4 linked regions of the Stegostoma tigrinum genome follow. The protein of the gene in region 4 binds, or shares a complex with, the protein of the main gene of each other region. Links are inferred from orthologs where the notes say so. Each region holds a gene or a part of one and is shown on either strand. Other genes may lie near its edges. The genes, in order: arpc5lb, arpc3, arpc2 and actin-related protein 2.

The links.
Region 1: the proteins of actin-related protein 2 (region 4) and arpc5lb are in contact, whole or in part, in a cryo-EM structure (PDB 6YW6), measured with the Homo sapiens proteins. The link is inferred for Stegostoma tigrinum from reciprocal best matches to the Homo sapiens genes ACTR2 and ARPC5L. Residues at the interface, in NP_005713.1 of Homo sapiens: Tyr225, Glu263, Phe266, Gln267, Arg319, Lys322, Gln323, Ser338; in NP_112240.1 of Homo sapiens: Arg11, Arg12, Val13, Asp14, Ile15, Asp16, Glu20.
Region 2: actin-related protein 2 (region 4) and arpc3 share a complex: the UniProt entries of both Homo sapiens proteins name them as parts of the arp2/3 complex. The link is inferred for Stegostoma tigrinum from reciprocal best matches to the Homo sapiens genes ACTR2 and ARPC3.
Region 3: actin-related protein 2 (region 4) and arpc2 share a complex: the UniProt entries of both Homo sapiens proteins name them as parts of the arp2/3 complex. The link is inferred for Stegostoma tigrinum from reciprocal best matches to the Homo sapiens genes ACTR2 and ARPC2.

What each region holds. Positions count from the first base shown.
Region 1 is NC_081382.1:26,288,311-26,295,723, reverse strand, and holds the start of arpc5lb (actin related protein 2/3 complex, subunit 5-like, b), read right to left. Parts: upstream 3,003-7,413; 5' UTR 2,842-3,002; coding exon 2,702-2,841; intron 1-2,701. Other genes in the region: rpl35 (large ribosomal subunit protein uL29), read left to right, coding at 3,284-3,286, 6,526-6,662. UniProt on the Homo sapiens protein: May function as component of the Arp2/3 complex which is involved in regulation of actin polymerization and together with an activating nucleation-promoting factor (NPF) mediates the formation of branched actin networks.
Region 2 is NC_081379.1:24,235,481-24,242,800, reverse strand, and holds the start of arpc3 (actin-related protein 2/3 complex subunit 3), read right to left. Parts: upstream 3,008-7,320; 5' UTR 2,879-3,007; coding exon 2,873-2,878; intron 2,434-2,872; coding exon 2,334-2,433; intron 239-2,333; coding exon 162-238; intron 1-161. UniProt on the Homo sapiens protein: Component of the Arp2/3 complex, a multiprotein complex that mediates actin polymerization upon stimulation by nucleation-promoting factor (NPF).
Region 3 is NC_081360.1:104,225,885-104,233,091, reverse strand, and holds the start of arpc2 (actin-related protein 2/3 complex subunit 2), read left to right. Parts: upstream 1-4,207; 5' UTR 4,208-4,300; coding exon 4,301-4,374; intron 4,375-7,207. UniProt on the Homo sapiens protein: Actin-binding component of the Arp2/3 complex, a multiprotein complex that mediates actin polymerization upon stimulation by nucleation-promoting factor (NPF).
Region 4 is NC_081362.1:2,370,567-2,377,554, reverse strand, and holds the start of actin-related protein 2, read right to left. Parts: upstream 3,023-6,988; 5' UTR 2,900-3,022; coding exon 2,852-2,899; intron 1-2,851. Other genes in the region: zgc:153169 (N(4)-(Beta-N-acetylglucosaminyl)-L-asparaginase), read left to right, coding at 3,386-3,500. UniProt on the Homo sapiens protein: ATP-binding component of the Arp2/3 complex, a multiprotein complex that mediates actin polymerization upon stimulation by nucleation-promoting factor (NPF).

The sequences.
Region 1 (7,413 bases), on a different chromosome or scaffold from region 4:
AGAGATAAGTAGTGGGAAAGTAAATGGTCTGAGGGGGATAAAAGTTTTCTTTAAAACCTCTGAACAATTTTCCTACTTGACTAAGACTTCAGTTTCCTGATTTCCTATCTGTGCCTCCAATGGAGTAGCAGCATTTTGGTGCCACAAATCACATCATTTGCAGGACCTTTATGACTGTAGTGAGGTTAATCTGTAATAAATCCAACAACACTATAGAAACTGGTGAGTTTTTTTTTCCAGAACAAAAATTTTAGTTAATCATCCAGCAATTCTGGGACTCATTTCCAAATAGTGCCATGGGCATACATATCCATGAACGGATGGTGGCAGTTCAAGACTACACCATCTCAGTTAGGATTGGGCAACAAATGCTGGCCTAGCCATAGATACACCATTCTTGTGAATGAATGTTAAAAATTATGGTGATTCAGAACTCATGGCACAGAAAAATTGATTTTGTACACAAACATTGAGCCAGTACATGCACAGTAGCAATTCAAGAATGTCATTCACCAGTTTATAGCAACTGGCACAGACATAAATCCTGGCATTGCCAACAACACCCACACAATGCCAACAAAAAAAAAGTGACCTTATGAAAGCAAAACAAGTTCATTTAAACAGTGCAACCATCTCAAAATAACATGGATAGAAGATTGGCTAGCTAACAGGAAACAGAAGTGTCAATAGATCATTTTTGGTTGGCAAATCTAAGTCGTAATGGGCTACAGAATCAGTACTGGGGTTTCAACTTTTAATTTATATGAACAGCTTGGACAAAGGGACCAAAGGTATAATCACTAAAGGCACCACGACAGGTAGGAAAGTAAACTAAAAGAGGACACAGGAGGCTACAAAGGAACATAGTTTAAATGAGTCAGCAAAAATGTGGGAAATGGTATACAAGTTGAGAAAATGTAAAAATGCTTATTTTGACTGCAAGATTTAGACAGAAGCATTACATAAATGTGAGTTTGCAGAGCTCCAAGGCGCAGTATGATCTGGGTATCCTCAAAGGAATCACATGATTAGTGTGCAGGTACAGCAAGTATTTAGGAAAGCTAATAGAATCTGTCTATTGTAAAGGAAATTGAATACAAATGTAGATTACTGTTCAGCCTTTCAGGGCATTTGTCTATAGTACTGCATACAGTATTGGTCTCCTTATTGAAGGAGAGAAATAAGATATCCTTGAAGCAGTTCAAAGAAGGTTTATTACACTCATCAGGTCTAGCAACATCTGTGAAGAGAAATCAGAATCAGGGTCAGAGGAAGTGTCACCAGACCCAAAACATATTAACTGATTTCTCTTCACATGCTGCCAGACCTGCTGAGCTTTCCAGAAATTCCTGTTTTTTGTTTCTGTCAACAGGTTTTTCAGTTTTTATCATCTCACAACTGGAATGGGCAGGTTGTCTTATGAAGAAAAGCTGGACAGGCTAACCTTAATTCTGAAGTTTAGAAGAGTAAGAGGTGATTTGTTTGAAGCAAAATCCTGACAAGCTTTGACAGGGTGCATATGGAAGGGAAGTCTCTTCTCGTGGGAGATTCTAAGGGGTCACCTGTTTAGGGCAGATATGGAGAATTTTCCCAGAAAGTCATCAGTCTTTGGAAAAGTCTTCCACAAAAAGTGATGGAAGAAGAGTCTTTGAATTTTTTAAGACAGAAGTAAATAGATTTATGACAAAGGTGGGGATAATCTTTCAACCACACACAATATTATGTGGAGTAATCAGATCAGCCACAATCAAATTCAATTTATTTTCTCAATCTATCAGAAGTGTTATGTCAAACCTGTGCAGCCGGTAGGACTTAAACCAGGCCATTTGGCTCAAGGGACACTGGCAGTGCACAAGAATCTTATTGAATGGCAGAGGGGTTAAGTGGCCTAGTCCTGTAACTAATTTATATATTTGCAAGAATGCAGGACCTGGCTAAAAATGCTCAAATACCACTGTACATTAACATTGTGACTGAAAATGATCGCTATTTTCCAACTTGAACAAAATCTCAAATCAAGGGTTCCCAAACGGTGGGCTGCAGTGCCAGTTGGATGGTGGAACAACGTTTTTGGGATCATGATTTCATTTTAGCGACGGTATGCTTGGAGCTTGAACTGAGTTCTGACAAATTGATTTCTTTTATGTCATTTTGGGTGGCTTTATCTTTTGTCTCATTTGACATTTGATTGTTACTACAATCACAGCTTGTACAATGGTGGCTCTCTGCTATTTTTAGGGACAAAGTGAGCAGCAGTAACCCCGTTCGTACTTCCACCCATTTCCACACTGAGGACTTAAGGTGCTGATCACAGCGGGGTAAATATTGGAAATTAAAAAAATAAAAGGTATTTAAACAAATCTCCAAAATGACAAATTCTGCACATGATATAATAAACTCACACTGAAGTCGTCAGTTAAGTGACAAACTCGATGAAAATGAAGCAATCCAGTGAAGGATGAGTGCGAAAGCAATGCCATTAACTTCAGTCGAGGGTGCTCCAGGCTGCCCGGGAGCGCAGTTAATAGTCGGCAGCAGTTTGAGAGCGGGTGCGGTTCCCAGGGGGTGAAAAAGAGTGAGAGGTCCGTGGTCATGGGGAGGGGAGAGCTGTCACCTTCCCTCCCGGCGTCATGCGGCGCTCTGCCAGCGCCTGGTCTCTCACAAACACGCGCACGCAGAGGGAGACGGGCCATAAGGATATTGCCTGATGAGAGTGTCCACTTCCAGCGAGTCGGGCCCCTGCTGCTCCACCGCCTCCTCCTGCTCATCCACAAACTTGTTCTCATCGTACTCGTCAACGTCGACTTTCCGGAACCTGTTGGAGAGCGTGTTTCTCGCCATCTGCCCCTACTTATGTTAAAAGAGCAAGTGTTAAATGGGGACGATAAGCCACTCCCTCGCCGACACCCGCACCTACTGAGCCGGAGGCTGCATCGGCGCCGGGCGATCGCGCTGCTTCCACTCAAACGCGGGGCCTGCCGAACCTCGACCCGGAACCGGAAACAGTCTCTGGAATGCACGATCTCAGGGAGAGGGCCGGTAAGCAAAATCAACAAAACTCAATGATGACTGAACCCCGTCGTTAAATGAGTTACAACGACGGGCTATAAAGAAAATAAAACAAGTAGGTTTCTAAAAGACGACGATGTTTGTGTAAAGTTAAACGTTTGACATAATGGATCGCGCTGAATCCTCCCCTCCGTGAAATGGATGGTAGGTCCTATCACGTGGAAATACAGGCCCCGCCCGCGAGGCCTGTCTTTTCCTGCGCTTGCCCAAGAAAATGGTAGGAGTCTGTAGGTTGTCTGCTCCTGCTAACTGGAGAATCCTAATTCATCCCGAAAAACTACTGGCTCTACAGCGGGAGTAGCTGGCTCTTGTGAATCCTCAGGCTCCCCTTTATCGGCTCCGCCAGTTATTTAGGATTTCTTTTTAGATTTTATGTTTAAACTGCGACGGATGATCCGCAGGCCGCGGTGTGTCTCTTATTTTTACATGGCGGCCCCGCTGCCTGGTCCGCGTAGGTAGCCCCGCCATTGGGAGTTGTGGAGATGCGGGGCCTGTCGAGCGGAGTCTGCGGGAGGGGCACATCAGGCGGGAGCTGCCTGAGCGTTTAGACAGTTGTTGCGACTCCAGACGTCCCGCTGGATCACCCGTGGCATTGCTCAACGATATCAGCTTCAGTCTTCACCCCCCCCCCCCCCCCCACCCCGCCGCCGAAGAAAGTCTTGGTTTTACTCCACATTTCTATACGTCTTTGAAATTGGCGATAATAGTGGTCCTGTTGCTTCTCCCTTCCGATTGTGAGCAGCTTTTTCGTTTGATGCCTCAGTTGCTATCTTCCCAACTGCAGTGAGGTTTTGGGGGTTTCTTAAGGTGAAGAAATCAGGGTCAACTCCTCTTGGTGACTCAAGAGGGAAACCTATTGATAGTGATCCTCTTCATCTTTTTTTCCATTCTGCTTCGTGATAGTGGTTACTGGGCTAGTCAGGTGTTGTTAGAGAAAGCTTGGTGAGTTGTGATGAATTCTGATATTTAGCTGCAGTACAACTAGTGGGTGTCCAGTGATGGTTGCAGTGTTCAAGCATGTTGGTTTGTTGCACTAGTCTGATTTCTTCAGTGTTGTGGGTGTACCCATCTGGTAAAATGGTGAATGTACTTCTCGCTGCAGATTTGATCCTCGTAACTTTGAGAAGAATGGGAAAAGGAGTTTCATATTGAATAGTAAAATGTGAGGCTGGATGAACACAGCAGGCCAAGCAGCATCTCAGGAGCACAAAAGCTGACGTTTCGGGCCTAGACCCTTCATCAGAGAGGGGGATGGGGGGAGGGAACTGGAATAAATAGGGAGAGAGGGGGAGGCGGACCGAAGATGGAGAGCAAAGAAGATAGGTGGAGAGGGTGTAGGTGGGGAGGTAGGGAGGGGATAGGTCAGTCCAGGGAAGACGGACAGGTCAAGGAGGTGGGATGAGGTTAGTAGGTAGCTGGGGGTGCGGCTGGGGGTGGGAGGAAGGGATGGGTGAGAGGAAGAACCGGTTAGGGAGGCAGAGACAGGTTGGACTGGTTTTGGGATGCAGTGGGTGGGGGGGAAGAGCTGGGCTGGTTGTGTGGTGCAGTGGGGGGAGGGGATGAACTGGGCTGGTTTAGGGATGCAGTGGGGGAAGGGGAGATTTTGAAACTGGTGAAGTCCACATTGATACCATATGGCTGCAGGGTTCCCAGGCGGAATATGAGTTGCTACCAGCCCAGCTCTTCCCCCCCCACCCACTGCATCCCAAAACCAGTCCAACCTGTCTCTGCCTCCCTAACCGGTTCTTCCTCTCACCCATCCCTTCCTCCCACCCCCAGCCGCACCCCCAGCTACCTACTAACCTCATCCCACCTCCTTGACCTGTCCGTCTTCCCTGGACTGACCTATCCCCTCCCTACCTCCCCACCTACACCCTCTCCACCTATCTTCTTTGCTCTCCATCTTCGGTCCGCCTCCCCCTCTCTCCCTATTTATTCCAGTTCCCTCCCCCCATCCCCCTCTCTGATGAAGGGTCTAGGCCGGAAACGTCAGCTTTTGTGCTCCTGAGATGCTGCTTGGCCTGCTGTGTTCATCCAGCCTCACATTTTATTATCTTGGAATCTCCAGCATCTGCAGTTCCCATTATCTCTTTCATATTGAATAGTGTCTTTTTTTGAAATTCATTCATGTGATGTGTGTGTTGCTGGCTGGCCAGCATTTATTGCTCATTTCTAGTTGCTTTTGTTTGGAAGCCACTCTGGCTTGATATTTATATTTTTCTGTGGTCAACTCCAGCTTGCCGCCACTCCTGGTTACATGCACTCATCTGATTCTGTCACCTTGAGCATCCCCAAATTCTGTCACTCCATCACTGGTGGCTATGGTTTCAGCTGTGCACTCAGAATGGAATCGTACAGTGTAAAAGAAGCTGTCTGGCCCATTGAGTCTGTACTGTGAAAAATATGCTAATACCTACACTCGTCCTATTTTCCCACAAGGCACATAATCTTGAATGTTATAACACTACAGGTGTTTGTCCAAGTACTTTTTAAATGTTTTACAGTTACACATCTCAGCTGCCCTCAGGCAGTGCATTCCAGAACTTCACCTCCCTTTAGGTGAAAAGATTTGACTCTCATTCCCCTTGAAACCTCCTGTCTTTTGCTTTAAAAGTGTGCCTTTTTTCTCTTGGCCCCTTGATTGAGAGGAACAGCTGCTATCTATTTGCATTGTCTGTGCCCCTCATAATCTTGTACACCTCAATCAGTTCTTCCTTCAACCTCTGCTCCAAGGAAAATAGCCTGAGCTTATCTGACCTCTCTTCATTGCTAACATACTCCATCCCAGGAAACATCCTGGTGAATTTCCTGTGCGAGCCCTCTAGTGCAATCATGACCTTCCTATACACAGTGATCAGCACTGCATTTACCGAGCTCTGGAATTTGCACCCTCAACAACAAAAGCAGCCACCCCACACACATGCGCGCGCACGCACACACACACACACACACACACACATCTCTTCCACTCTTCCTTTGCAGCATCTCTTAAAATTTGCCACTTTGACCAATCTTTTGGCCCTTTACTCTAACATTGTATGATGTCACTCAGTACCAAATCTTGGTTTTATGAAGCCTCTGGAAATACCTTGAGATATTTTACTTGTTAAAGTTGCTATACTTTGCACCTTGTGGCATTGTAATTAGGGCTTTATTGGTACTGTGAATCTGGAACTCTCCCTCTAAAGCTGTACTGGTTGGGTCAATCAAAATTCTTAGATTAATAAATTTCTGCTTACGGGTTATCTGGATTAGAAACTGCTAAATGGGGTTTAAGGTACAGGTTAGCAAAGATCTAGCTGAAAAACCTGATAAGTTGAAGGACCAACTCTTGCTCCATATAGCATTAACAGCTACTTGTATTATCTTCAGTTTTCGAATGTGTGTACTGTTGATCGAGTCCACTTGGAGGCTTTGTTTGTGTGACAGTAACATGGTGGTTCTTATTAAATATAGGCAAAAATCAAGGCACGTGATCTGCGCGGCAAGAAAAAGGAGGAGTTACTGAAACAGTTGGATGACCTCAAGGTTGAACTCTCCCAGCTCCGTGTGGCAAAAGTAACTGGAGGAGCTGCATCCAAACTGTCCAAAATGTAAGTATATAGGCTTGAGATATTTTGAACATGCCAGTGATTTTAAAATCTCGCTTATTAGAAAGGACAGCTTTGGATTAGTTTGGAGACTTGCTGACCGAGCTGGTGTGTTTGATCGCAGACTTATCGTCATCCTGCTAGTGACATTGTCAGTGCACCTCTGGTGAAGCATCGATGTTCTGTCCCGCTTGTTATTTATGTGCCTTGGTTTGCTGGGGTGTTTGGCGTTACTTCCGGTTTTGTTTCTCAGTGCTTTGTATCTTTGGTCCAGTTCAATGCGTATGTTGATGGAGTTCTGGTTGGAATGCCAGGCTTCCAGGAATTCGCTGGCATGTCACTGTTTGGCTTGTGCTGTTATGGATGAGTTGTCCCAGTCAAATTTATGTTCTTCTTTGTCTGCTTGTATTGAGACTAGTGAGAATTGGTTGTGTCTCTTAGTGGCTAATGTGTATTTGTGTATCCTTATTGTCAGTTTTCTTCCACTTTGGCCTGTGCAATGTTTCTCAGTCCTTGCATGGTATTTTGTATATTACATTAGTTTTCTTGGTTGTTGGTGTGGAATGCTTTACTGTCACAGGGTGTTGTTGGTTTGTGGGGTACCCTGATACTTAGGGGTCTGTAGGATGACGAGTGTTTCTGGCCATGTTGTCTCCAGTTGTAGTCTGTGCAAAAAGCAGGCCAGGAGCACTTATACAGAGTATTTAAAAAGAATGTATACCCAAAAAGCACAATCCGTGGCTACCTCCGCAAC
Region 2 (7,320 bases), on a different chromosome or scaffold from region 4:
GTCAGAAACACTGTCTAAACATAATCACACTACTTTTGTGCCGAAGTGATTTCACTTTGTTATACTACACGACGCATTACTCCCTTGAATACACGACAAATTATTCATGTACTTTATTTAAAAAGAATCTTTACAATTGACAAATCAGAAAACAAACCTACCTTTATTTCATAGTTTTTGAAGAAAACATTTGCCTTAAAATAGTAGATTGCTTCATCAATGACATCAGTGTCTTTAGCTGGAAAAGATCATTATTGATAACCAAATCTTAAATCCTTAAGCATAACAAAAAATTAACAGTTTGAATTTGTTGTCCCCAGTTGGGAGATAGAGTCATAATTACAGAAGTCAATAACACAGAAAGCAGCCCTTGGGCCCACAGAGTCAAAAAGCACCACCACCTAAATATTCCAACCACATTTTCTTCACAGATACTGCCAGACCTGAACTTTTCCCGCAACTTCTGCTTTTGTTTGTGATTTACAGCATCCGCAGTTCTTTTAGTTTTTACCTTTTGGATCAAAATGTTTTTCTTCTCCTTTGCTCTAAACTTCCTGTCTCTTATGTCTAATCTACGGCCTCTTGTCATCGATTCCTCTCTCTCCTCCCCTCACCCCACACCACACCAAATGAGTTTACTCCTTGATTAAACTTCAAAGTTGACCCATTCAGGTAGTCATTTCAATCATCAATTAAGTCTTCTTTCTACAGGCAACTATGTTCCAATCAAAACAAAAAGCGTGTCCTCTTGGTTTTAACTAGAATGCAGTGTCTGGCCTCCTTGGCTGAAAACCCACAACTAATCTAATATGCACCTTGTTTCATTAACTGTTGCAAATTACATAATTTTAGCTTATATTACATTTGACTTAGAATGTAAAACAACATTTAGACTGTCACGCTGGCATGCTTTCTTTGGCCATCAGGTGGACGGTACAAAAAAGAAACAAGCTTCAGCAAATTTTTCACCTCCTTCCAACCCCATACATGACTAACCTTAGGAGAAACAAGGGCAGTGGATGTGTGGGAATATCCCCACCTGTAAGCTCCCCTCTAAAACACACAAGTTTCTCGTTGGAACTATATCAGAATTCTTTCATCGCTGCTGGTTCAAAATCCTGGAATTCCCTCCCTAACAGCATCATTGCTATATCAATATACCACGTATTGCAAACGTTCAGAAAGGCAGCACAGCAGCACCTTCTCAAGGGCACTTAGAAATCGGTAATAAGTGCTGGCCTAGCCATTGATACCCACATTCCATGAAAGTTTTTTTTAAGAAATCTTATCTTCCTATGACATTTAAAAAGTATAATTGCACTTTCCCTCGCTATTCTCTCAAGCTTTCTTCACCCAGCAGAAGGATTCAAAACGAGGAACCAGAGTTCTAAGGTAAGGAGCAGAAGTTTTAAAGGGGTTTGCAAAATTCCACCCAACCCCAAACTGGGTTCTGGATATTTCGTACTCACTGCCCAAAAAGGGTAGCAGAGGTAGGAACCCTCAACTCATTTACAAACTATTTAGACAAGCAGTTGAAATGCCATATAGCATGCAAGGCTACTGACCAAGTAATGGAACATTACAATAAATGATATTTGATGAAGGTCATGGACATGGTAGGCCTCGGAGCCTCTTTCCATGCTCTCAAACCTGAATGACAGTACAACCTACACCAACACGTCGACTAACAGCGCTCTTAAATACAGTTACCAGGCCAAAGAGTGACCAAAAGTAACATTATAAAAAGAAATACTACTTTTTGAAACTTCAGTATCTTTCCAGAGAACCTAGCTGATGTTTGCGGGTGCAAGTTGCATGCTGCATGTGTTGAACTAGAATTTTTGAATGCATTCAACAATTCAATTGGAGTATTTTTCAATACACTAGCCATGCACTACATGTGGCTAATCAGAAATCCAGCTGTGGAAAACTGCTTTTGACAAGGCAAATTTTAATCAATAGAGTAACACATGGTCAAACTGCCTCTGCATTTGGTACTTAAATCAAAACAAGAGCAGGAGTACATTTAGCCTTTACTCCCCTTGTTACCAAATGATAGTAGATATGATAAAATAAATATACCCATGCAAGGTACATTTCCCAAAGCAGTAATTTACATCACAACCACACTGCTGTATGGAAATGTGTCTATTTGTAAACTAAAAAGTGTGCTTTTTCCCTGGCACCAAGATTTTTTTTGAAAGAACTTTCTACAATTATTAACTGGTTTAAATTACAAAACTAACACTTAAACTGTTTCCCTATGCATAACTGTACAAACTGATGCAAGTGTTGTATAATTCAGTTTTCATAAAATCAATCTCAAAACTTACTTTCCTTAGGAGCTGGTCCTTTAAATTGTGTTTTAAGCGGCAATAATGCCATGTTTCCAATCAGTTTTACATCACTATCCATAAGGGTTGAATGATAAGCCTGAGAGAGAAAAAGTACAATTAGAAATGCTGTCCTTCCCTAGTATACCGACTCAACTGGCATATTTCTGTCAAATATATTCCTGATTTTAAGATTGTATTCGTAGGTGATTAAGATCAATACTACAGACCACAACTTCCAGTAAAACGGATGCAGGATGCTCCATGAAGGTTAGCATCAAATAACATCATTGAATTAAAGTAATTCACTTCATTAAGCTAAAGGTGACAAAATACACAGTTCTCTCAACCGTACATTTTTGGACCAAAGACACAAATATTTTTTCTTAATAATCTTGCTTAGGCCCAAACGGCCTACTTCCTGATTTTTCACATCCACTCTGATTTTTCAGTTAACTTCCATCAAATAACATGAGTTTAGGATGCTCCGATACAGGAAGGTGTTGGGGGATTAAATAAAAACCCTTCAAGAAACTTACCGGCATTTTACAACCTGCAACTGAACAAGCGCCCAGAATAAATTGGTTCTGCTTCGGTCACTCTCAGCTCTTCCGCCAGTCCCACCCTGTCGGTGACGAGCGCGGCGTCAGGCGGCGGTGCGGGAGTGAGCACGGCGAACGCTATTCCCACGTGACACGAGATAGAACCTGGCGAAGGATCCTCTGATGAAGGGTCTAGGCCCGAAAGTCAGCTTTTGTGCTCCTTAGATGCTGCTTGGCCTGTTGTGTTCATCCCGCCTCACGTTTTATTATCTTATGAAGGATCTGCACGTTTTACTGGAGGATTTTTTCCCCCCCGACCCTTCCCCATCCGGGGGGGGGGGGGGGGGGGTCAGTTCAGGACTGCAGTTCTCAATTTACTGATTCAACTTTCACTGGAGTATTGCAACTAATTCTGGGCCCCACACAGTAGGACCTATCAGAGGATACAGGAAGGATTCAGAAGACGAGTCACAGGCATGAAGGACTCTGGGATGTATGTGAGAAGTTGGAGAGTTGTTGTCCTTGACGAAGCATAGAGGTGATCAAGGTCAGAAATCTCATCACATCAAGTTATAGGCCAACAATTTGAAAACATAAGCTTTCAGAGTCGAAAACATGGTATAAAAACAATAAATGGTACTGTATTAAACACCAACAAGCCACGACCAGTTCTCACTGGTCTTACTATACACAGACAAAGAAGGACATGAATTCGACTAGGACAACACATCCATAATAGCACATGCCAAACAGAAACAAGCCATGGAATTTCTGGAGGCTTAGCATTCCAACCAGAACTCCATCAACAAACATGAACTGGACCTGATATACAAACTACTGAGAAACACAACGGAAGTGATGCCAACGGAAGCATATAAATAACACGCAGGACACAATACTGACACTTCATTGGAGGTACATTGATGTTACCTAGCAGGGTGACAAAACATCTGCAAACACACCAACTTAGTGAGCAAGTCTACAACCTCGTCTACAACCTCATCCACAAACCAAGCTACAAATCTTCTCAAAAACAAGTCTGTCCTTTTCTGTGAGATGACAAGGTGTAGAGCTGGATGAACACAGCAGACCAAGCAGCATCAGAGGAGCAGGAAGGCTGATGTTTCAGGCGTAGACCCTTTGTGAGGAAGGATCTAGGCCCTAAACGTCAGCCTTCATGCTTCTCTGATGCTGCTTGGCCTGCTGTGTTCATCCAGCTCTACACCTTGTTATCTCAGATTCTCCAGCATCTGCAGTTCCTACCATCTCTATTCTTTTTCCATCACTAACACAATAGAATTATGGTCACTGGCCCCAAACAGCCTCCCCCACTGACACATCAGTCACCTGCCTGGCCTTATTTCCCAAGAGTAGGTCAAGATTTGCACCTTCTCTGCTAGGTACATCCACATAATCAGAAAATTTTCTTGTATATGCTTAAATTCCTCTCCATCCAAGCCCTTAACATTATGGCAGTCCCTATCTCTGTTTGAAAAGAGAAAATCCTCTACCATAACCACCCTTCAACTAAAATGAAAGTTCTCCTAAATAAAAGAAATTCAAGGGCAGCATGGTGGCTCACAGCATCAGAGACCCAGGTTCAATTCTAGCATTGGGCAACATTCTGTACAAACTCCACACATTCTCCATCTGTGTGCATAGGTTTCCTCCCACAGTTCAAAGATGTGCAGGTTAGGTGGATTAGCCATGGGAAATACAGGGTTAGTCTGGATGGGATGCTCTTTGGAGAGTCAGTGTGGACTTGTTGGGCTGCATGGCCTGTTTGTACACTGTAGAGATTCAATTAATTTATACACCTTTAGTCAATCTGCAAATTCCAACCTTATCAGAATATATTAGTCTAATTAATGATATCTCCAGTCCTAGGTACATGTTTTCATTCACCCAGACAGGGATTGCTTCATGTTATGCTAGCCTGATACTGTTGACCTCAACCCTTCTCTATTTATTCTAACCCCCATCCCAGAAGGTGAGGGTTGTTCCTCCAGGTCGTGTTGAGCTTCGCTGGAGGACTGCAGCAGGTCTGAAACAGAAATGTTGGCATGGGAACACAGTGGCACGTTGAAGTGTCAAATCACTGGAAGGTTGGAGTCATTTTTGTATACAGAATTTCATAAAGCAGTCACCCAGTCTGTTTTGTCTACACAATATAGAGGATTGTGAACAGCCAATACAGTGACTACATTGAATGAAGTGCAGGTAAGTCACCGCTTCACTTGGAAGATGTGTCTGAGGCTTTGCAGTGAGGAGGTAAACAGTCAAGTGTTGTACCTTGTTTGAACGGGTGCCATGGAGTTGTTTTGGGAGTCAAGCAGGGCATTCTGGAGGAAACGATGCCTACAAAATGCTGACAAAGAAGGGGAGGGAAATACAAGTCTGGTGGTGGCATCCCACTGGAGGTGCCGTATATGGCAGTATATGATCCTTTGGATGCAGACTAGTAGGGTGGAAAAGTGAGGATGGAGGAGTGCTGGCAAATGGACTGGATATCCCTATTAATAAGTCACTTAAGACTTACTAATTGCTTGTTGCACTTGCGTTGTAAGACAAATAATGTGTGGACCTTAAGTGGAGACTATTTGATTACAGGAGTAAAGTCACAGTTGTATAAAACCTTTAACTCCTCAAATGGAATATCGTGTACAGATTTGGTCTCATTACCTGCCATACAAGGAGTGAATGAAAGATTCACCAAATAAATCCCCAGGATAATGGAACTGCCTTATAAAGTTAAGATTGTGGGTCTCTATTCCCTAAAGTTTCAAAGATTGAGGAGTGACCTCATTTGAAACTTACAAAATTCTTACAGCGTGTGATCAGGTGGATGTGGAGGCTTAGGCTGGGAGCACCATATTAGTTTAAAGAGGTATGCCACTTAAGACCAAGATGAGATGAATTTCACGATGAGGGTGATGAGAATCTTTGGAATGCTGTGTCCCAGAGTGCAGTGTGTGTTCAAATGAGAAATCAATTTGGAGACTAAATTTCACAAGGGATATAGAGATAGTACAGGAACATGACAGAGGGATGGGTAATCACCCAGTCAAAATAATGGGATGGCAGAGAAGGCTTAACAACACACCTGTTCCTATGTTTGCCTGCCTGACACGTGGTAAGCTGATAGGCCTTTCCCAGCAGAAGCAGGATGGGATCCTTAACTGGGCATTAAAGGACTACAATTGGCCCACCATGGTGCAAGTCAGCAGATTGTCTCCCCACCACTAGTAAAATTATAATGATGACAAGTGAGTCGGCAACAACTATGACACCTATTGGACTTTGTGTTCTCATGCCTTCAAATCCACTAACTGTGTTACATCCAGTGCACAGATCATGTCTTGAATTATATACAGATGAAATGCCATCTGAATAAATTGAATCAACACTTAACTTTTATGGTCTCTCCAGGGAACTGTTCCCTAGACAAGCCACTGACCGACATTATTCTTGCGGATTCATTTTGCATTTACCATTCCACCGTTTAAACAAAGCATGTTCTCTAGTTCTGTATCAACAGCTTGATTTGAAATTAAAACATCATAACTGACATCACCACTGACACATACTGCTTTAAAAGTGAAAATTAAAAAAAACAGCAGTGCAATGGGTCACTGAAATAATGCGATAATGTGACCATTCTTGGTAAAAAGGCTGCAAAGATACTAAGTATGTTATAAGGTTAATCCCTCTGTTAACCCTATGATAGTCCCTATAATGTTAATCAATGGCATTACAATACTAAATCATTCCTTTCACAAATCCACTTTGATAATCTTTAGTGATTTTATTTCTATCCAAGTGGTCCATATTCTCTCTTTAGGGAGGCTTTGTATAATTTTATACTCGTGACAAATTCACAACTTACCTTCATGCAGTCACAAACAACTTGCCACTACACAATGATTTCTGGAAGATTTATGCCAGAATTTCTGTAATTTTCTCTTTAATTCTTTAAAAGATTTTCAAATGCATTTTACCCAACTCAAGTTCAAGTTTCCACACCTATTAGACAACCATGCTAGTAGTAATATGAATGGTGATGAGAAACATTGTCTCTTTCCTTACCCACTTCACTTTCCAGATAATTTTAGTTTTATTTAAACCTCAAAAAGGAGACAGCCAAGGCAAATAACATATTTAGCATCTTTGCAGCCTTTGTATCAAGAGTTGTCACATTATCACATTATTTCAGTGACCCATTGCACTGCTGTTTTTGATTTCCACTTTTAAAACAGGATGTGTCAGTGGTGATATCAGCAACTCAGCCTCCCAAAATACAGGCTTATGGCTATGAATCCAGGATACTACCCAAAAACAGTGAACAAAAACAAAATTGCCAGAAAAGCTCATCAGGTATGAAAGCATCTGTGAGGAAAAAGAGAGTGTTAAAACTCCAAATTAATATTTACTTTGAATTTTAAATT
Region 3 (7,207 bases), on a different chromosome or scaffold from region 4:
TTTAATTAGCTTTTCATTATTAACCCTCTTAATCAAGAAACCAACCTAGTGAACCTTCACTGTGCCACTTCAAATGCAAGTATGACCTTCCTTAAGTATTTCAACAAAAATTGCATTCCCAAAAATCTATATTCCAGATGTGGTCTTAACAAATCCCTGTACAATGTAGCAAGACTTATTTTATCTATACTCAAATTCAGACTGACATGCCACTTGTTGCCAGATTTTTTACTGCACATAGAAACATAGAATTAGAAGCAGTGATAGGCCATTTAAATGCTTGAGCCTTCTCTGCTTTTCAATATGCTCATGGCTGAAGATCAAGCTCAATACCCTAATCCCACGTCCACCATATCTCTTGATCTCTTTAACCACAAAGCTATATCTAACTTCCACATAAAAAAAATGTTTTGGCCTCGATCACTTTCTGTGAGAGTAAATTCCACAGACTCACCAGTCTCTAGGGAAGGAAATTCCACTCATCTCAGCCCTAAAATGTTTATCCTTTATTCTCAAACAATGACCTCTAGTTCTGGACTCCCCCAACATGAGAAACATCCTTCCCTCTTCTAATCTTCTGAGATGCCCCACATTCTTCTAAACTCCAGCGAATACAATCCTAAGTCAATCTCATGGCCCGCCACATCCCCAACTCAAACATTACGATCAAGCCAGCGGATCAACCCTGGTTCAATGGAGAGTGCAGGAGGGCATGCCAGGAGCAGCACCAGGCATACCTGAAGGTGAGGTGTCAACCTGGTGAAGCCACAAACAGGAATACTTGCACGCCAAGCAGCAATAGCAGCAAGTGACAGACAGAGCTAAGCAATCCCACAACCAATGGATCAGATCTAAGCTCTGCAGTCCTGCCACTTCCAGCTGTGAATGGTGGTGGACAATTAAACAACTCACTGGGGAAGGAGGCTCCACAAATATCCCCATCCTCATTGATGAAAGAAGCCAGCACATTAGTGCAAAAAATAAGGCTGAAGCATTCACATGATCAGTTGGAGGAGTTGCATTACTGGCCAACAAGCATATCACAGCTGTGCTGAAGGAGGGCATGGTGGAGAACTCACGCAGTGAGGCAATATGGGCAGAGCTCAGAAATAGGAAGGGTGTGGTAACAATGTGGGGGCTGTACTACAGGCCTCTCTACAGCAAGCATGAGATAGAGGTACAAATATGTACACAGATTAAGGAAAGATGTAGGAGCAACAGGGTGATGGTGATGGGAGATTTTAATTTTCCCAACATTGACTGGGATTCACTTTGTGTTAGGAGCTCAGATGGAGCAGAATTTGTAAGGAGCATCCAGGAGGGTTTTCCAGAGCAGTATGTAAATATTCCAACTCAGGAAGAGGCCATACTGGACCTGGTGTTGGGAAATGAGCCCAGCAAGGTGGTTGAAGGTTCAGTAGGGGATTACTTTGGGAATAGTGATCACATTTCCGTAAGATTTAGAATACTGATGGGCAAAGATGAGAGTGATCCTCAAGGAAGAGTGCTGAACTAGGGGGAGGCCAACTATAGCAAAATTCAGCAGGAGCTGGGGAATGTGGATTGGGAACAGCTGTTTGAGATTAAATCCACATTTGATATGTGGGAGGATTTTAAAGAGAGATTGATTAGAGTAAAGGACAGACATGTCACTGTGAAAATGAGGGATAGCAAGGGCAAGATTAGGGAACCATGGATGACAGGTGAAATTGTGAGACTAGCAAAGAGGAAAAAGGAAGCATACAAAAGGTCTAGGTGACTGAAAACAGATGAAATTTGGAAGAATATTGAGAAAGTAGGACCAATCTGAAATGAGGGATTAAGAGAGCTGAAAGGGATCATGAAATATCTCTATCAGACAGGGTTAAGGAAAATCCCAAAGCCTTTTATTCATACATAAGGAGCAAGAGGCTAACGAGAGAAAGGGTTGGCACACTCAAGAACAAAGGAGGGAAGTTATGCGAGGAGTCAGAGAAAATGAGTGAGATTCTTAATGCGTACTTTGCGTCGGTATTCTCTGAGGAGAGGGACAGGACAGATGTTGAGGTTAGGGATAGATGTTTGATTACTCTAGGTCAAGTCAGCATAAGGAGGGACAAAGTGTTGGGTATTCTAAAAGACATTAGGATGGACAAGTCCCCAGGTCCAGATGGGATTTAACCCAGATTTCTGAGGGAAGTGAGAGTGAAAATAGCTGGGGCCTTAGCAGATATCTTTGCAGTATCCATGAGCATGGTGAGGTCCCGGAGGACTGGAGAATTGCTAATGTTGTCCCCTTGTTTAAGAAGGGTAGCAAGGACAGTCCAGGCAATTATAGACCAGTGAGCCTGACGTCAGTGGTGGGGAAGCCGCTGAAGAAGATTCTGAGGGATAGTATCTATTCCCATTTGGTAGAAAATGGGCTTATCAGTGACAGACAACATGGTTTTGTACAGGGGTGGTCATGTCTTACCAACTTGATAGAACTCTTTGAGGAAGTGACAAAGTTGATAGATGAGGGAAGGGCTGTGGATGTCATGTACATGGACTTCATAAGGCATTTGATAAGGTTCCCCATGGTAGGCTGATGGAGAAAGTGAAGTCACATGAGATCCAGGGTGTACTACGTAGATGGATAGAGAACTGGCTGGGCAACAGGAGAGAGGGATTGGAGTGGAAGAGTGTTTCTCAAAATGGAGAACTGTGACCAGTGGTGTTCCACAGGGATCCATGTTGGGACCACTGTTGTTTGTGATAAATGATCTGGAGGAAGGTATAGATGGTCTGATTAGCAAGTTTGCAGATGACACTAAGATTGGTGGAGTAGCAGATAGTGAAGGGAACTGTTGGAGAATGCAGCAGAATATAGATAGATTGGAGAGTTGGGCAGAGAAATGGCAGATGGAGTTCAATCAGGTAAATGCGAGGTGACGCATTTTGGTAGATCCAATTCAAGAGTGAACTATGTGGTAAATAGAAAAGCCCTGGGGAAAATTGGTACATGAAAAGATCTGGGTGTTCATGTCCATTGTACCATGAAGGTGGCAACGCAGATGCATAGAGTGGTCAAGAAGGCAATATGGCATGCTTTCATTCATCAGACGGGGTATTGAGTCCAAGAGTTGGCAGGTCATGTTACAGATGCATTGGACTTTGGTTCGACTACATTTGAAATACTGCGTACAGTTCTGGTCACCACATTACCAAAAGGATGTGGATGCTTTGGAGAGGGTGCAGAGGAGGTTCACCAGGATGTTGCCTGGTATGGAGGGCGCAAGTTGTGAAGAGAGGTTGAATAAATTAGCATTATTTACATTAGAAAGACAGAGTTCGATGGGGGACCTGATTGAGGTCTACAAAATCATGGGAGGTATAAACAGCATGGATAGCAAGAAGTTTTTTTCCCAGAGTGGGGGACTCCATTACCGGGGTCATGAGTTCAAGGTGAGAGGGGAAAAGTTTAAGGGAGATATGCGTGGAAATTTCTTTACACAGAGGGTGGTGGGTGCCTGGAACGCGTTGCCAGTGGAGGTGGTAGAGGCAGGCACGATAGCATCATTTAAGGTGTATCTAAACGGATACATGAATGGGCAGGGAGCAGAGGGATACAGATCCTTGGAAAATAGATGACAGGTTTAGATAGAGGATCTGGATTGGCGCAGGCTTCGAGGCTGACGACTTGTTCCTGTGCTGTAATTTTCTTTGTTCTTTGTTCTTGGTTCACAGGAACAAAGAGATGAAATATTTGGGAAGCCACAATCCAACCTTGCTTCATGCTGTTTAACAGGCATCTAACCAGTTATGACCCTCAAGATGTACACTCTCTCTACATCAACCCTTGATTTAATATTTCCTACCATTCACCGTATCACAGATATACCTTTTACCTCACACCTTCTTCCCCACTTGCTCTTTCTCTAAATTTGCTTAACAACAGTTATCCTCCAAGCGGTCCAAGTTTGCGTGCAAGTTCAGAGACCTACAACTATCGCTCAAGATTTTAAATTCATTGTGAAATCATCCATCTGCTGAAAGTTAACATCAGTCCGTTTATTTTTTTTCATCTGCTTCTCACTTCTTCCCATTTGTCTCATCTAGGCAGATATGATGATATTTCTCTGAAGGGCTTCAGAAGTCTGGGGAAATAATCCAGCAATGGTGGTGAGATATCCCAGGATGCCCCGGGGTCGTGAAAGGCCCCTGCTCCGCGCTGACCGGCTGCGGAAGTGGTTCTGCGGGTGTGGCTGGGCCTTGTTTCCGGAGAGGGTCTGGAGTTGGAGGAGAGGCCGAGACTGTGTCCGGGTTCCTTGCCGCTGCCGCCATGATCCTGCTGGAGATTAACAACCGCATCGTGGAGGAAACCCTCAGCCTCAAGTTGGAGAATGCGCTCGCGGGGTACGGACCCGGGAAATGCTTCTTCATTGCCGGGCGGAGGGAGGCTCCTGGGCCGGCGCTCAGCTCAGGCCCCGACCCGGACACACCCCTCCCCCCGGATCCCCCTCATCTCCCCTCCCCCCCCGGGATTCCTCCCCCCCCAACCCCAACCCCCCACCCCCCCCACCCCCCCACTCCTCCCCCCCACCCCCCCACTCCTCCCCCCCCCACCCCCCCACTCCTCCCCCCCCCACCCCCCCACTCCTCCCCCCCCCACCCCCCCACTCCTCCCCCCCCACCCTCCCCACTCCTCCCCCCCCACCCTCCCCACTCCTCCCCCCGGGATTCTTTCCCCCCACCCCCTCCCCCTGGGATTCCCCCCCACCCCATGATCCCCCACATTCCCCCCCCCCCCCCACCAGCCCACCCCTCCCCCAGGATCCCCCTCATCTCCCTACCGCAACACCTGGATTCCCCTGATTCCGCCACCAGCATACGCCTCCCACGGGATCCCCCTCATCTTCTCTCCCACACCCCTACCCCCACCCTGGGATCTCCCTCACCCAGCCCTCCCCTCCCCTGGGTGACAAGGAATATTGAAAGTTTAGTCACAAAGTAAAAGGAGGCATATGTAAGGTTTAGGAAACTGAAATCGAACAAGGCCCTTGAGGAAGGAAGCAGAAAAGAACTTAAATGAGAAATTGGGGCCAGTAGGGGCCGTGAAATGTCCTTGGCAAGTACGATTAAGGTGAATCTCAAGGCATTTTATAAACCTATGTTAGGAGCAAGAGGCTCACTGGGGTCCAGTTAAGCACTAAAGGAATTTATACTTGGAACCAGATGAAATGCCTGTAATGAGCACTCCACATCAGTATCCAAAAAGGAGGCCATGTTGAATGGTGAATCTCAGATGGAGTATGTTCTAAGGCATGCTCATATTGAGGACGAGGTGGTGAGTGTCTTTAAAAACACTAAATCCCCAGGACCTGATGACATCTATCTCAGGATAATGAGGGAGGCAGTGGGGGAGATTGCTGGGAATTTGACTGAGATCTTTGATTCCTCTTTCACCACAGTTGACGTCCTAGAATTCTAGAGACTAGCTAGTGTTGTTCCATGTTTAGGTAGAGCAATAGGGCTCGTCCAGGAAATTGTAGGCTTCCGTGCCTTGCATCAGTGGAAGGGAAATTATTGGAAAAGGTTCTTAAGGACAGGATTTATTCACGTTTAGCAAAGAATAGACTTAATAGGGATATGCAGGGCTTTATTACGGGAAGGTCTTGTCTCACGAATGTGAATAGATTTTTTTGAGAAAATGATGAATATGATTGAGGGTAGGGTAGTGGATGTTGTCTTCATGGACTTTACCAAAGCAGTTGATGAAGTCCATCCTGGTAGGCTACTCTAGGAGATTAAGTTGCATGCAGTCCATGGTATGTTGGCAAGCTGCATTCAAAATTGGCCTGGCCCAGAGGAGGTAATAGTGGAAGAGTGTTTTTTTCTGACTGGATCTCTGTGACCAGTGGTGTTCTGCTATGGTCTGTGCTGGGACATCTGTTTGTGTTTTACAATGATTTGGATGAAAATGTAATTGGCCTGATTCGTAGGTTTGCAGACAACACAAAAAATAGAGTTGTGGATAATAGGAGAGTTTGTCAAAGGATACAACAGTATATAGATCACTTAGAAAGTTGGACAGGGAAATGGCAGATGGAGGTTAATCCGAACGAATGTGAGGTGATGCATTTTGGGAGGGCAAATAGAAGAGGAAGTTGTATAGTAAATGGCAGGACCCTGAGGAACTGTGGTAAACAGGAATTTTGAGATGGAAGTCCAAAGCTCCTTGAAAGTGGCAGCACGAGAGGATAGGTGGGAAAGAAGGTGTGCAGCGTGCTTGCTTTTATTGGTCAGGCCACTAAGTGTAAAAGTTGGCAAGTCATGTTGCTGTATAAAACTTTAGGCCATGCTTGAAGTATTGTATGCTGTTGTGGTTGCCACATTATAGGAAGGATGTGGAGTTGCCACCCAGGTTGACAGGGCTATTAAAAAGGCATACAGTGTTTTAGCTTTTATTAATAGAGGGATGGAGTTCCGGAACCAAGAGGTTATGGTGAAGCTGTACAAAACTCTGGTGCGGCCGCACTTGGAGTATTGTGTACAGTTCTGGTCACCGCATTATAAGAAGGATGTGGAAGCTTTGGAAAGGGTGCAGAGGAGATTTACTAGGATGTTGCCTGGTATGGAGGGAAGGTCTTACGAGAAAAGGCTGAGGGACTTGAGGCTGTTTTCATTAGAGAGAAGAAGGTTGAGAGGTGACTTAATTGAAACATATAAAATAATCAGAGGGTTAGATAGGGTGGATAGGGAGAGCCTTTTTCCTAGGATGGTGATGGCGAGCACGAGGGGGCATAGCTTTAAATTGAGGGGTGAAAGATATAGGACAGATGTCAGAGGTAGTTTCTTTACTCAGAGCGTAGTAAGGGAATGGAACGCTTTGCCTGCAACGGTAATAGATTTCCCAACTTTAGGTACGTTTAAGTCGTCATTGGATAAGCATATGGACGTACATGGAATAGTGTAGGTTAGATGGGCTTGAGATCGGTATGACAGGTCGGCACAACATCAAGGGCTGAAGGGCCTTCACTGTGCTGTAATGTTCTATATGAAACAGGTTACCTGTATATTCTGGGTAACAAATTGTCAGAGGACTTCTCTTAATTGAACATAGAACAGTACAGCACAGAACAGGCCCTTCAGCCCACAATGTTGTGCCGACCATTGATCCTCATGTATGCACCCTCAAATTTCTGTGACCATATACATGTACAGCAGTCTCTTAAATGACCCCAATGAC
Region 4 (6,988 bases):
CCAGTAGTCTAAGGACTCATAAGATAGTGATCTCTGAAATTATGGTATGTCTGACAGAAACAAGAAAACTTGCTTCCACTTGTGCAGAGGACAAGAACTGGCAACTATGAAAAATGTTACCACAAATAAATCCAGTCAGAATCCAAGTGAAATGGCTTCACCAGAATGGTGAGCGGAACCTATCACCACAGGGAGCAGTCGAGGCCAGCAGCTCTGATGCCCTTGAAGGGAACTTAAAGAAGCATATAATGGAGAAAATAGTAGAAGGATACATTGATAGAAAACTACTCAAACCTAACAGACAATTCTCCTACGACATTCTCTAACTTTAAAGCTCATGACTTTTGAAGGATGTTCAAACCATTGCAGAAAAGACAGCAATCAATTTGCAAACAGCAAACGTCCTCAGCCAGACAAACAGTTAAACTCTTGCAATTCCAATACACAGATTTTGGGGGAAGCAGGGGGAATGGGTGAAAAGGGATAAAGTAGTGGAAGAATGGTGTTGGGGAGGTCAAGGAAAGCAGGTGGGGTTGGCAGGGAGGGTGAGGAGGGGATGGAAACGTGGGGGTTTGGGGTGGAATTTTGGGAGGGGAGGGGGGGCTGGAATTGTGGAGGGGGGGTTGGGTGGGGAGGGGAGGAGGGGGTGGAATTGTGGGGGGGGGTATGGGGAGAGAAGGAGGGGGTGGAATTGTGGGGGAGGTGGGGAGAGGAGGAGGGGGTGGAATTGTGGGGGGGGTGGGGAGAGGAGGAGGGGGTGGAATTGTGGGGGGGGGTGGGGAGAGGAGGAGGGGGTGGAATTGTGGGGGGGGTGGGGAGAGGAGGAGGGGGTGGAATTGTGGGGGGGGGTGGGGAGAGGAGGAGGGGGTGGAATTGTGGGGGGGGTGGGGAGAGGAGGAGGGGGTGGAATTGTGGGGGGGGTGGGGAGAGGAGGAGGGGGTGGAATTGTCAGGGGGTGGGGAGAGAAGGAGGGGGTGGAATTGTCAGGGGGTGGGGAGAGAAGGAGGGGGTGGAATTGTCAGGGGGTGGGGAGAGAAGGAGGGGGTGGAATTGTCAGGGGGAGGTATGGGGAGAGGAGGGGGTGGAATTGTGGGGGCGGTGGGGAGAGGAGGGGGTGGAGGGGAGGGAAGGAGGGGGTGGAATTATCAGGGGGGTATGGGGAGAGAAGGAGGGGGTGGAATTATCAGGGGGGTATGGGGAGAGAAGGAGGGGGTGGAATTATCAGGGGGGTATGGGGAGAGAAGGAGGGGGTGGAATTGTGGGGGGGTAGGGAGAGAAGGAGGGGGTGGAATTGTCAGGGGGTGGGGAGGGAAGGAGGGGGTGGAATTGTCAGGGGGTGGGGAGGGAAGGAGGGGGTGGAATTATCAGGGGGGTATGGGGAGAGAAGGAGGGGGTGGAATTGTAAGGGGGGGTATGGGGAGAGGAGGGGGTGGAATTGTGGGGGGGGTGGGGAGAGAAGGAGGGAGTGGAATTGTCAGGGGGTGGGGAGGGAAGGAGGGGGTGGAATTGTCAGGGGGGTATGGGGAGAGAAGGAGGGGGTGGGGAGAAAAGGAGGGGGTGGAATTGTCAGGGGGGTATGGGGAGAGAAGGAGGGGGTGGGGAGAAAAGGAGGGGGTGGAATTGTCAGGGGGTGGGGAAGGAAGGAGGGGGTGGGGAAGGAACGAGGGGGTGGGGAAGGAACGAGGGGGTGGGGAAGGAACGAGGGGGTGGGGAAGGAAGGAGGGGGTGGGGAAGGAAGGAGGGGGTGGGGAAGGAAGGAGGGGGTGGGGAAGGAAGGAGGGGGTGGGGAAGGAAGGAGGGGGTGGGGAAGGAAGGAGGGGGTGGGGAAGGAAGGAGGGGGTGGGGAAGGAAGGAGGGGGTGGGGAAGGAAGGAGGGGGTGGAATTGTCAGGGGGTGGGGAAGGAAGGAGGATGTGGAATTGTCAGGGGGTGGGGAAGGAAGGAGGGGGTGGAATTGTCAGGGGGTGGGGAAGGAAGGAGGGGGTGGAATTGTCAGGGGGTGGGGAAGGAAGGAGGGGGTGGAATTGTCAGGGGGGGTATGGGGAAAGGAGGGGGTGGAATTGTGGGGGGGTTGGGGAGAGGAGGAGGGAGGGGAATTGTCAGGGGGTGGGGAGGGAAGGAGGGGGTGGAATTGTCAGGGGGTGGGGAAGGAAGGAGGGGGTGGAATTGTCAGGGGGTGGGGAAGGAAGGAGGCGGTGGAATTGTCAGGGGGTGGGGAAGGAAGGAGGCGGTGGAATTGTGGGGGGGGAGGGTGGGAGAGTGGGGGGGGAGGGTGGGAGAGTGGGGGGGGAGGGTGGGAGAGTGGGGGGGGAGGGTGGGAGAGTGGGGGGGGAGGGTGGGAGAGTGGGGGGGGAGGGTGGGAGAGTGGGGGGGGAGGGTGGGAGAGTGGGGGGGGAGGGTGGGAGAGTGGGGGGGGAGGGTGGGAGAGTGGGGGGGGAGGGTGGGAGAGTGGGGGGGGGGGGAGGGTGGGAGAGTGGGGGGGGGGGAGGGTGGGAGAGTGGGGGGGGAGGGTGGGAGAGTGGGGGGGGAGGGTGGGAGAGTGGGGGGGGGGGAGGGTGGGAGAGTGGGGGGGGGGGAGGGTGGGAGAGTGGGGGGGGGTGGGAGAGTGGGGGGGGGGGTGGGAGAGTGGGGGGGGGGTGGGAGAGTGGGGGGGGGGGGGTGGGAGAGTGGTGGGTTGGTGGGTTAGTGGGTTGGTGGGTTAGTGGGTTGGTGGGTTGGTGGGTTAGTGGGTTAGTGGGTTATTGAGGTGGTGGTGTGACTGCCTCAGATACCACCCCCTCCCCCAATCCCAGACGGCGCCTCACTTCCTCATACCTTCCCCTGGGACGGCGGGCCGAAGAGCCAGCACTTACCCCAGTGCCATTGTCGCAGACCACCACCTTCCTACCCTGGCTGTCCATGGTCCGCTCCCGAACCGCTACCGCCCTCTGTCCCGGTGAAACTTTCCACCCGCCTCCCGACACCGGAAATCACTGTCCGCTCGCTCCCGCTCCAGAGGGCGCGCCGTTCCCACGTGACACTCCGCTTCCGATAGGCGTGGCCGGGTGCTGCCAGAAACGTCGTGATTGACGTGAGGTGGGCAGAGTGCCGTTGATTGGCAGTGAGGAGGCGGGGTCGGTAAGGACACTTCAATATTAATTGGTTGATAACGCTCCGCGCCCGGCTAACCAATAAACTTCGGGAAGCGACCGGTGGGCGGGACATTGGAGGGGGAAGTCTAAAATAAGTCTTTTTGAAGAATATTTAAGGTATCTTTTAAGTTCTAGTTCTTGTACTGTGATCTGATATTCTTTAAAGCTTAACAAAACATTTCTTCTCAGCTTGAATGATTGTTTTAATGTGATTGGTCCCTAAAGGGGGCCAATCAGAGTGCAGGGTTGGTTGCTATGGCGGCGGCGGTCGTTGGAACCTGGGCCTTTTCGCTGGCTGCGGTGGACAAGGCCCGGTTGCTGTTGGCGACCGGCCGCGGGGCCTCGGCCACCGTCCAGGAGGCTATGGCAGGTGATGTATTTTCATGATGGTCGTGCCGGCCTTTACACCCACAACAGCAGTTCTCCAAGTTCTAAAGAGTACCTGCTCCCTCAGCACTGACCCTCCGACAGTGCGGCGCCCCGTCAGCACTGACCCTCCGACAGTGCGGCGCCCCGCCAGCACTGACCCTCCGACGGTTTGCCCGCTCGCTCGGCGCTGACCCTCCGACAACGCAGCTCGTTTCCTTTGATAGATACTTTGTCATACAAACTGGAGACAGACCTTTCAGTCCATCTTATCCACGCCACTGGAGAATCCCAAACCAAACTAGTTCCATTTGTCAGCATTTGGCTCTTATCCCCATAAAATGGGGTGCAAGATACACCAGGAGATAGAAAAGCTGTGTAAGAAAGGCAAAGTCACAGTGATCATGGGGGATTTCAATATGCAAGTGGACTGGGAAAAACATGTTGGTAGTGGATTGCAAGCAAAGTAGTTTGTGGAATGTCTGTGAGATGGCTTTTTGGAACAGCTTGTGGTGGACCCCATGAAGGAACATGCAATACTGAATTTAGTGTTTTGCAATGAGACAGACTTGATAAAGGAGCTAAAGGTAAAGGAACCCTTAGGAAGCAGTGATTTGAGAGGGAGAAGATAGAAGTATTACAACTGAATAAAGGCGACTACAGAGTTATGAGAGACGAGCTGGGCAGAATTGATTGGAAGAAGAGCCTAGCAGGAAAGACAGTGGACAGCAATGGCGAGAGTTTCTGGAAGTAATTCAGGAGACACAGCAAAAATTCATCCCTCAGAAAAAGAAGCATGGTACAGAGAGGATGAGGCAACCAAGGCTGACTAAGGAAGTCAGGGTTAGAATAAAAATAAAAGAGTAATTAGTAATGTGGCAAAGGGCAGTGGGAAAACAGAGGACGGGGAAGCTTACAAAGATCAACAGAAGGCAACAAAAAAAAAGAGGGAGAAGATTAAATATGAGAGTAAGCTGGCCAGTAATATAAATGAAGGCTGTAAGAGTTTCTTTAGGTATATTAAAGGGCAAAAGAGAGCCCAAAGTGGACATTCCACCACTGGAAAATGAAGATGGAGAGATAGTGGGGAACAAGGAAATGGTTGAGGAACCGAATAATTACTTTGCGGCAGTTGTTAAGGTGGAAGTCATGAGTAATATCCCAAAAATTCAAGAGAGCTGGGGTGGAGCTGGGTATGGTGGCCATCACCGAGGAAAAGGTGCTGGTAAAACTGATTGGCCTGAAGGTGGACAAATCACCTGGATCAGATCGACTACACCCCAGAATTCTAAAGGAGATAGTGGAAGCGTTAGTGGTGATCTTTTAGGAATCGCTAGAGTCAGGGAGGGCCCCAGGGACTGGAAAATTGCTAATGTAACACCCCTGCTTATAAAGGGAGTAAGGTAAAAAAATGGAAAATTATAGGCTGATTAGCTTAACGTCTGTCATTAGTAGGATTTTCGAATCCATGTAAAGGATGAGATTTCTGAATATTTGGAAGTGGAGTGAAATAGGGCAAAGTCAGCATGGTTTCATCAAGGGGAGGTCATGCCTGGCAAATCTGCTAGAATTCTTTGAGGAAGTAACGAGCAGGGTAGACCAAGGAGAGCCAATGGATGTTGTCTACCTCTACTTCAAGAAGGCCTTTGAAAGGTGCCACACAGGAGGCTGCTGAATAAGATAAGGGCCCACAGTGTTAGAGGCAAGGTTCTAGCATGTATAGAAGATTGGCTGTCTGGCAGAAAGTAGAAAGTGGGAATAAAGAGGTCTTTCTCATGATGGAAGCTGGTGACAAGTGGTGTTCCACAAGGGTCAGTGCTGGGACCACAACATTTCACTTTGTACATGAATGATCTGGATGAAGGAACTGTGGGCATTCTGGCTAAGTTTGTGGACGATACAAAGATAGGTGGAGGGACAGGTAGTATTGAGGAATTGGTTCGGCAGCACAAGGTTAGGACATTGGGCAAAGAAGTGGCAGATGGATTACAACGTGGGAAAGTGTGAGGTCATGCACTTTGGTTAGAAGACTAAAAGCATGGACTGTTTTCTAAATGAGGAGAAAATTCAGAAGGCTGAAGTACCAAGAGACTTGGGAGATCCAGTTCAAGATTCTGTCAAGGTAAACTTTCAGGTTGAGTCCATAGTCAGGAAGGCAAATGCAATGTTGGCATTTATTTTGAGAGGACTTGAGGGGGCGATCTGATTGAAACTTTCAGAATACTGAATGGCCTGGACAAAGTGGATGTTGGGAAGATGCTTCCATTGGAGTCTAGGACTCTAGGACACAGTCTTAGAGTCAAGGGAACGTCTTTTAGAACGGACATAAGAAGAAACATCTTCAGCCAGAGAATGGTGGATCTATGGAAGTCACTGCCACAGAAGGCTGTGGAGGCCAGGTTATTGAGTACATTTAAGACTGAGATAGATAGCTTCTTGATTATCAAGGGGGGGTCAAGGTTTACGGTGGGAAAGCGGGAGAATGGAGTTGAGGAACTTAAGAGCCATGATTAAATGTCGGAGCAGACTCGATAGGCCGAATGGCCTAATTTCTGCTCCTATGTCATATGGTCTTAAACATTTTCTATTCACATCCCATCCAGATACCTTTTCGATGTGAATGTCCCCACGTCTGTTTCTTCGTCTGGGTTCATTGCCTATACGCACCAGCGTCTGTGTGAAAAAGTTGCCCCTCATGTCCCTTTTAAATCTATTCCCTCTTACCTTCAACCTGCACCATCTAGTTTTGGACTCCCTTACCCTAAGGGAAAGACCTTGACTATTCCCCTCATCTCTACCTCGCATGATTTTAAAAACTTCTCTAAGGATTTGGAACAGTTCTGTTTAATCTCCCGCGATTCCAAATTGTGTTCATAATCTTGTGTAAAAGAATTACTTTTATTTTTGTTCTGCAGTTTGTGATCTCAGGACGTCTGGAAAGGGCTGCAGAAATGTACTGTATAGAAATTCAGTGCAAAGTTTAACTTCAGGAGACGAGTCAAAGCCAACTGAGTTTGACCTGCCTGAATGTCTGAATTTTGTGATGCATTATGTTCTCGTCAGAAAGCAATTTTTGATTTACCCAATAAACAGCAAGCAGCAGACTTCGGAGAGGAAGATTAGAAATGAAGTGTTTGTTTTTCATGAGATTTGAGACCCCTGTGCACCAGTGTTCATAGCTCAACACAAATAGAGGTTGTGTAAGTTACTGCTAGCGAATCTATCAGCACATTTTTGGAAAGCATTGTGATTGAAACTTGATTTGATCTTTCTGTATCGCTTGTTGCACTGTGTGCTGTGAAACACAGGCTGAGCTGCATGATTGGATTAATGATTTTCAAGATCAAGACTTGTTATCATAAGACAGCATTTCAGAATCCAACTATGGCACATGTGGATTTTAAGTTAACTTTTTATTCAGATGATCAACTTATGATCAGCCATCGCAATTATGAAACAATGTTGTCATATAAACCTGTCAGGTTATTCGTA